Linked DNA regions of Caenorhabditis elegans. The protein of the gene in region 2 purifies or fractionates together with the protein of the main gene of each other region. This does not show direct contact. Each region holds a gene or a part of one and is shown on either strand. Other genes may lie near its edges.

The links. The genes of interacting proteins can lie anywhere in the genome.
Region 1: the proteins of aptf-1 (region 2) and F29B9.11 fractionate together in Caenorhabditis elegans (co-fractionation; one large-scale study listed by BioGRID). This does not show direct contact.

The regions. Positions count from the first base shown.
Region 1 is NC_003282.8:4,658,678-4,661,825, forward strand, and holds F29B9.11 (Cytochrome c oxidase polypeptide VIIc), read right to left. Parts: upstream 1,525-3,148; 5' UTR 1,524-1,524; coding exon 1,410-1,523; intron 1,172-1,409; coding exon 1,019-1,171; 3' UTR 954-1,018; downstream 1-953. Other genes in the region: mrps-21 (Mitochondrial Ribosomal Protein, Small), read right to left, coding at 446-635, 689-840; jmjd-1.2 (JmjC domain-containing protein), read left to right, coding at 2,332-2,514, 2,562-2,633, 2,680-2,964, 3,129-3,148.
Region 2 is NC_003280.10:6,453,154-6,457,683, reverse strand, and holds aptf-1 (Transcription factor aptf-1), read right to left. Parts: upstream 2,714-4,530; 5' UTR 2,711-2,713; coding exon 2,597-2,710; intron 2,549-2,596; coding exon 2,287-2,548; intron 2,242-2,286; coding exon 2,025-2,241; intron 1,977-2,024; coding exon 1,858-1,976; intron 1,683-1,857; coding exon 1,414-1,682; intron 1,361-1,413; coding exon 1,244-1,360; 3' UTR 1,138-1,243; downstream 1-1,137. Other genes in the region: dgk-5 (Diacylglycerol kinase), read left to right, coding at 192-323, 504-675, 725-827; atg-16.2 (Autophagic-related protein 16.2), read left to right, coding at 4,296-4,530. UniProt on the Caenorhabditis elegans protein: Transcription factor, which is required in the single sleep-active ring interneuron RIS for sleep-like behavioral quiescence induced by neuropeptide signaling in larvae. Regulates gene expression of sleep-inducing FMRFamide-like neuropeptide flp-11 in RIS.

The DNA of each region.
Region 1 (3,148 bases), on a different chromosome or scaffold from region 2:
CACTGTATTTTTGACTAAAAACCGCAAAAATTCATTGATCAGGTTTTTCCATGTTTGGCTTCCCTTGCAATCCATACCTTAATCCTTAAACCTCATTTCTCTCGAACGGAGCTAGGAACAAGGGAAAACCTTTTCTCGGGGGAGCGCAGCGACCCGAGAATGGGATGTTTTCCCGTGACAGCGGAGTGAGAGAGACAGTAGCAAACTAAAGGCGCAGGCATTTTCCTCCGGCACGGGTCTCGCCGCGACAAGCGCCCCGCGGGCGCTGCGGCGCCTGTTTCTCCTCATTCTACGTGTGCAATCCTTAAAATCCATACCGACGATCCTCAACTTTTTACATTAAAACCAATATCCTTGTTTCTAAATTCTCAATTAATTTACACTTTTATTGCTGTAAAACAAAACAAAACAAAAAACTCAAAACAACTATTTTCTGAGATCGAAATTAGGACGTCACTTGTCCGGGATGCTTGTCGGGACGATTTTTTCGAACGAGAAATTTCATTTTCCGGTTCATGTCCTCGTTGAAAATCGCCGTTGATGCTTCCATCGACAGTGTTTTTCGTTGCATGTAGGGCTTCTGATAGAATTGAGTGCGGCGAATGATTTTCAGCATTCCTTCTGAATCCATCAATCTGAAATTATTTCAATCTTGAAATTATGTTCTGGGAATTTTTCCAAAGAAAACCTGTTAAGAAGTCCGAAAGCTCCATCGACATCATTGTTCTGCACCATTACTGTTCGAGTTGCGAATCTTGGATGTGAATTCCAAATTCCTTTGAAAAGTTTAATCGCGAACGGCTGAGAAATCGTTCCTCTCCAGGTGAATTGACGTACCATCTTTAAAACAATTATCAAAAAAATTCTAAATGAAAAACCGAATCGAACATTTATCTTTCATGGATGGATAAACCACATTTGACAGCGAATAAAATTGAGAAAAAGCGAAGAGAAAACAAGAATCGATTTATTGTTGTTCTCAAAAGTCTACACAATGGCTCGTGGCATAATATTACTTCTACTGTCTGCGGGCGGCAACACGGGCGTCAATCTCTTCTTGGACTTCTGGGGAGAGAGCATTATCCGGTCTTGGGCGAAGACTATCAAGTCTGAAGAGGACGGAAGTTGGGTATGCCATGAAAGCGACGCAGATGAGTCCGTAAAGGGCAACCTGAAAAAATTGGTGTTATAGTGAATAATATGGATATCTGGATAAATATGTTTTTGAGCAGCTAAATTAAAAGTGAGACAAATTTCAAAACTGTATCTTTTAGTTCAGAAATTAATTTTTCAAATCCATTCAAACGAATGTACAAACTGAAATTTAGTTTTTTTTGGTGAGCTAGTGGTATTTTAAGTTTTACTGCTCACAAGGATAAGTTCAAGACATTTAGCAAATAAAAAATTACCTTCTCGCTGACAGAGGTGAAACGGAGTGGTGGGGTCGAGTCAACTCCCTTGTGAAGCGAGCGACGGATGACATGTTGGCTTCTAGCCAAGGAGAGCACAGCACGGTTCAGCATCCTGCAATAAATCGTTTAAATTTACAGAGTAATTGAGCAAGCATGATAATCCATAGAAAACGAAACAGAGAATACGATTCAGGCGGTTATAAAAACAGAAACTATACGAAAATCGTTAATTCTACACAATGAATCAAAAAATTATTTGATTTTGCTAATGGATGAAGCTTGAAAGCTGAAAAATAGTAAAAATCTGCTTAAAAAATAATCGGCAGGCTGTGAGAGGTTAAAGGCGCAGAGACGGCTGACGGAAAACAAAAACAATCGTTGCGAGACCAGCCGCTTGGCTACGTGCCAAGTGTGAGAATACGGAAGGTGAGAAAGACGGAGACACTGCGAAGCGAGTGAACGGTGAATGCGAGACACCAAAACCCGGAAGTGGACAGGCAGAAATTGATTTTCTCGTTAAAAATTTTTTGTATTCAGAATTGCAATCAATTCAACTAATCAATATTGATATTTTCATCTTAAAGTTTATCTACTAATTAGTATTTAATCCCACAAACTCGTAAATTTCATCGCGACTCACGTTCCCCCGTTTCGCAGTGTCTCTTGTTTCGCATGCTGCGTCTCGTTTCTCTTCTTCTTCACATCTCCTCGAGGCTTACAGTTTTTTCAGCATATATTTCAGTTTTCCATCATTTTTCTGGAGTTTTTTATTGAAAAATGTTGTAACAGAAATAAATTTAAACATTTCGAAGCTATTTTCATGTTATTTTGTCCGTTGTTTCCCTTTCAATCGACTATTCGTTGAAGTTTTCGAGTTTTCCGTTAAAAATCGTTGTTTTCCAGAATCTACACATTCCAAATGGATGGTAATGATATAAATATACAAAAAAACGAGTTTTCTCGAGACCAATCAGCACTTCTAATGATGGATCAGCATTCCGACCATAAGAATCACGAATCGGCAATCGGCGAGCCAGGAATGTCATACACAGCCTCTCAACCGGCTCTTTCCTCTACTGAGCATCAAACGCCATTAGTTTCTGTACGATTTTTTATTTTTCTGCGATTATTCAATGATATTGATTACAGGAAGCAAGCGTCGCAGCTCCTCAAAATCATTTGAATGGCAATTCCCATGAATCGGTTTCCGAAATGGATAGAGTAAGTGTTTTATTCATTTAAAATTTTAAAAAAAGTCTCATCTCAGAATTCGGTTGATTTTGCGATAGAATCAGTGCTCATGAAAGTGAGTGTAACCTCCGATTTCACTGAACTTCCTCCATTTCTCAACGTAATTTTCCAGGCGAGAGCTTACAACAAGATGGGCGCTCCAAAAGATCCGAGGAGAAAGCAGCACAATCCGAAGAGCGAGCCTAAAATCGAGCCACATGTGACAGATTCATCGGATAATCAGGCTGCAATGAGCAACAAGATGGAAGCGGAAGCGCCGAAGATGGAGTCAAATCAGAACTACGTCAGCAACGGATCTGAGGTATGGTTTATTCTGAAATGTGGAAGATTATTTTCATTCAAAAAAAATTTATTTATAAATTTATAAATTTTTGAAAAAATTCAAATTTCCCGTGGCAATATCATACTGAACTTTTAAATGAAGAAAAAAAATTAATTGATAAATATCATCAAATTTTATTCCAGCCTCCATTCCGTTTCGTTTC
Region 2 (4,530 bases):
ATTGGATATACGAATAACGAATATAGTTTCAAAATTTGATGGCCACCGTTATCAGCTGCAAGAAATTTTTGTGTGAACTGTGCAGCCTGGAAAATGTGTTTTATTCTCCAATTAAATTTTTAGTAATAAAAGTATGCTCCACTCAGCCATTATGATGAGATAATATCGAAAATTGAAATTAATATTTTCAGCTTACGAAATTGGAATCGTGAATGTTGAATCAGAAGCCGAACTTGATTCGGCAAGAGTTCTCATTCAGAGACTTCTCGTTGAGCACAACTCCCTTCCCTATGAGCCTGACAAGAATTGGAGATTTTTGGATTGTAAGTTTTTATTCAAAAAAATTTTCAACATAAAAATTGACCAAAAATGTACCCTAGACACTTTAGATAATTTGGAATTTTTAATAATTTTTTTGGAAAATTGCAAAACATTCCAAAGGTTTTGTCTTTCAAAATTGTACTGTGACATTTTTTTCACTTGAAGGGTTTTTATTTTTTCAGATGTTTCAAATGCAGAAGAAGGAACATTTCGAGTTTCTCGTCAACAAGAACATGTACAAAGTGTTAGTGATGTGTGTAATACAGATGAATGTCTTTTGATTCTTGATCATGCTTTTCCTTCAATAACTGATCGGGAAGCGGTCGAGTTATTTCAACCACAACAACCTATTCCGTGAGCTTTTTAAGAATTATTTTTTAATTTGAAAAATCTTGAATTTCAGATCTACTTCAACAAGTGCCGCTCCCCGTTACCATAACTCCCGCCGAATATCTGAGACTCTTCGAATTGTTTTGAGCTCTGACGCTCAAGAAACTCATTTGTAGGATTACAAGAAACACTTTTATTTTGCCATTTTTTCATGTGCTAAATCTGATTGTATTTTGATATTTCCCAAGTTTTTTTAAATTTTTAACTTTTTGTTCAAATCAATTGCCGAAGATTGTTAAAAATTTCAGCAATTGGCTCATTTTTTAGGTGAAATGATTTATAATCAAAATTATTTTACATCGAGATCTCGTAGTGGATTTTTTCTGGTTTTTTTTTTCTGAAATCTTTATTTAAAAATTCTTGAATTTTTTAACTTTCCAGAGTCATTGGAAAAGCGTCGTACATTGTATATTACAACCGAATGATTTTTGTGATAAATTTATTTTATTGATTGCGAATTTATATTAATTTTGTGGTTTACATACATGCTTGAGACAATCAAAAAAGTATTCAACAAGAAGACAAAGCGTAATTATCTCCAGACATTTTGAGAACAACATCGATCAATATACTTGATACTTTCATCAATCATTAACTTAACTGATTCCAGTACTGCACTCATTGCCACGTTTCCGAAACCATGAGTCATCTGGAAATTAAAAAATGTTTTATGGATTCGCTAATTTTGAATTTTAACAGTACCAGCGTAAAATGTGATAAATGCTGTTGTACAGAAGGATCAATCGGAAGCATATTTCTAGGAAAATATGGAGTAAGAGGTGTACGGTCACAGGAGAGAAGTTCAGCGAGCTCTCCAACAACTTTCCTGCTCATTTCCAGTGCAGTTCTCCGCTTTACAACGTCCGGATCGATTGCTAGAGAGGTTTTTGTCAAGTAGATTCCAATTTCTCGGGAATGAAATTCCTTTTCACATACGAGAGCAAACTCTTTTGCCATGTGAATTGCTTCTTCTGGAATTCAACAAATTTACATGACAAGTACGAGCGTTATGGAGCGTTAATAGAACTTAAATTCAGGATTCTTAAAGAGACATTTTGGTAAGTATTAGTTGGAATTGTAATTTTAAGGACCTAAGAATTTATATCGTCACCAACCCTACCCCATTCCCCAAAACTCTTAACAAACCTTCAACTAAAGCCGTCCAAGCTGTAACATTTGCTTGCTTCCTTCTACCAGCAGGAAGAGTCAAACCAAGTTTCTTGAGAGAATCCCTCAATGTTTTCCCACCGTCCTTTGACTTAGCCCTGCAACCTCACAACTTATTACTATTATTTATTATTCTTCTTTCTTACTTTCTCAAAATACCACCAAGAAGAGACGCATTTAAGCATTCTGGCGGGCTGATGCGTCTTTGTATTTCTGCTACAGTAACCCGATATTTAGTTGTAGAGCTTAAGAGACTTGTGCGTCCTGGAACAGTGCAGTAGACTTCACCAACAATTTCAAGGGGAGATTGACAGTCAGAAGCAAAGAAAACGAATGGACGATCCTGTTTTGTGGCAACTTGACCTTAATATTAACATACAGTACTTAAGATTTTATAGGATTTTATACTGTAATTAGATGAGTGATCTCTATCTTCTGATTTAGGAATACAGTAATCTTCCTCTCCACTTCCTCCAGTCCCTTGTTGTTGCTGTTGTTGTGGGGGAGTAACATTGAAGAACTGTTGTGAATTGCTCACTGGAAACTCTCTTGCATATGTAAAAGTGCTGACTCCACAAACTGGAGGTTGAATAAGATGTGGAGGATACGGTATATCATAATGACACGAGATATGCATATGGGAAGGAGCAAATGTGCGCATATTCTCGTACTGCAAAAATAAAATATACTGAAGAGGAATAAAAAGGGCGGAGCCTACAAATGGTGGTCTTTGGGAAGATTGTCGTTGTTGCTCTTCTTCATCTTCTTCGTCACATTGAGATCCACGAACGAATTCGTCATCAGAACATTCCATGAGTTTACGGTTGAACATTCTGCAGTATCTGCATTTTTTTGGGTCTAAAAGTGAAGGATGCCAAAGTAACAAGAGTGTTAACACATTTTCAAACCAGAAAAATTAAGAAAATTGTAAAATTTCTGATCAAGAATGTTTGAATCTTTTGACTGTATCTTGACTATTTATTTTTGTTTCGGTGTTTCCGTTTACATTTTTCAAAAAATGTGACCCAACAGATGAAATTAAGACACAAAAGCACATAAAATATAACCCTAGAATGAAATTTATTTGATGAAGTGAAACTTGATTATCTGATAGTTTCTCATCAAACTTTCATAGCTGAACAATAAACAAAAAATCAAAATTAAAAAGTAGAATATTCTTCTAACTTAAAAGTAGTGAGCAGAATGAATGATGGGTAGAAAATCAAATGAAGGAGGAGGTGGACATAGGGCGGGAAAATGAATTTTATTAAATGTGAGAGCTTATGATGAGCATGAGAGAGCATCGGATTTACTCCATCACTTGCCACTTAGGATTACTGTAACTCTAAACAGAGGAAAGCTTATTGGAAAATATGGACAGAAGAAAGAAGAAACCTATTTTTGTTCAGAATATAAAAGTAAATATTTGGGCAGAATGAGTCGCAGTATTCCTGAAAACATAGATTATTTTACTGTAGGCAACACTGTTCAATATATGCCAAAATAGGCAGGAAATTGGAGAAAAATTAAAAAAAAAACTGGAGGAGTTGAAGTCTATGCCAGAGTTTCTGCTCGCTACTTAACTTTTTATTACGGATACTATAATTGTAAGATTTAAAGCGCAATTTAAACATGAAGTATATTCATTCTGTGAACAATTCACAGTACAACTTCGCATACTCAAGGCTGCTGTTTTTCAAAACCAAAAAATCTATTGTCTCTTAATTTCAAAACCGTTGGTAGTATCAAAATGAAATTTATGCTACAAATGGTTGTTAACCTAGAATTCATTTCGAAATTGCGTTTTCCGGGCTCCTGTCAATGTTTGTGTTTGCTTTTTTTGAAAACCCAATAAAAAACCAATAAGTTGATGAACTAGAACATACCATACTAGTTGATGCTAGTTATCTACTTGAAACATAGGACACTGACTCCAGACTTCTTGGTACCTTCAAGTCCTGCAAATCCCACAGGTTTAAGCTTCAACTTTGTTAATAAACCTGTAAACCTATGTTTACATTCTATTTCAAGTGTGACAATACCATAAGTACCATCTGAATATACCCAGTTTAATTTGTTGACAGCAATTTCAATATGCCATTTCTAATATCTTCTATGTTCTCCAGTTAATTATTCAAATCTTTAAAACAAGATTAATTTCGCGGGATTACTCTATCCTTCCCCTCCCTCTCAAAGTGGTCTAGGGTTGGCGCGTTTCTCGTACGCATTGCATCGCAAAATGCGTCAAGGGCACACATGGTGCATATGTTTCTTGCAAGACATGTGCAATAGGTTTTTTATTCATATCGATTTAAACCTGCATTTGCTTTTATGTTCATATATTCATTAAGTCGTATGAAACGATAAGATTTTTATGAAACTTTTTTTTCTCTCGAGTAATAGTTGTCTTTCAGAGGATGACCGACAATCGGACTTCCTTTCGCTTGGAAATACTGAATCGATTGTGCAAACGAGAACGCCAGCAAAGATGTGTGAAAGACATGTTCAAAAATTATTCGTTATTGGATGAACAATTGCAACAATCACACCGATCGAGATCTGTTTCTGTAAACGATGAGCACTTTAAAGGAAATGTAAACGATCGATTAGCTGTTATGAAAGAAGAAATGGCAAATGTATACAGAATGAAAA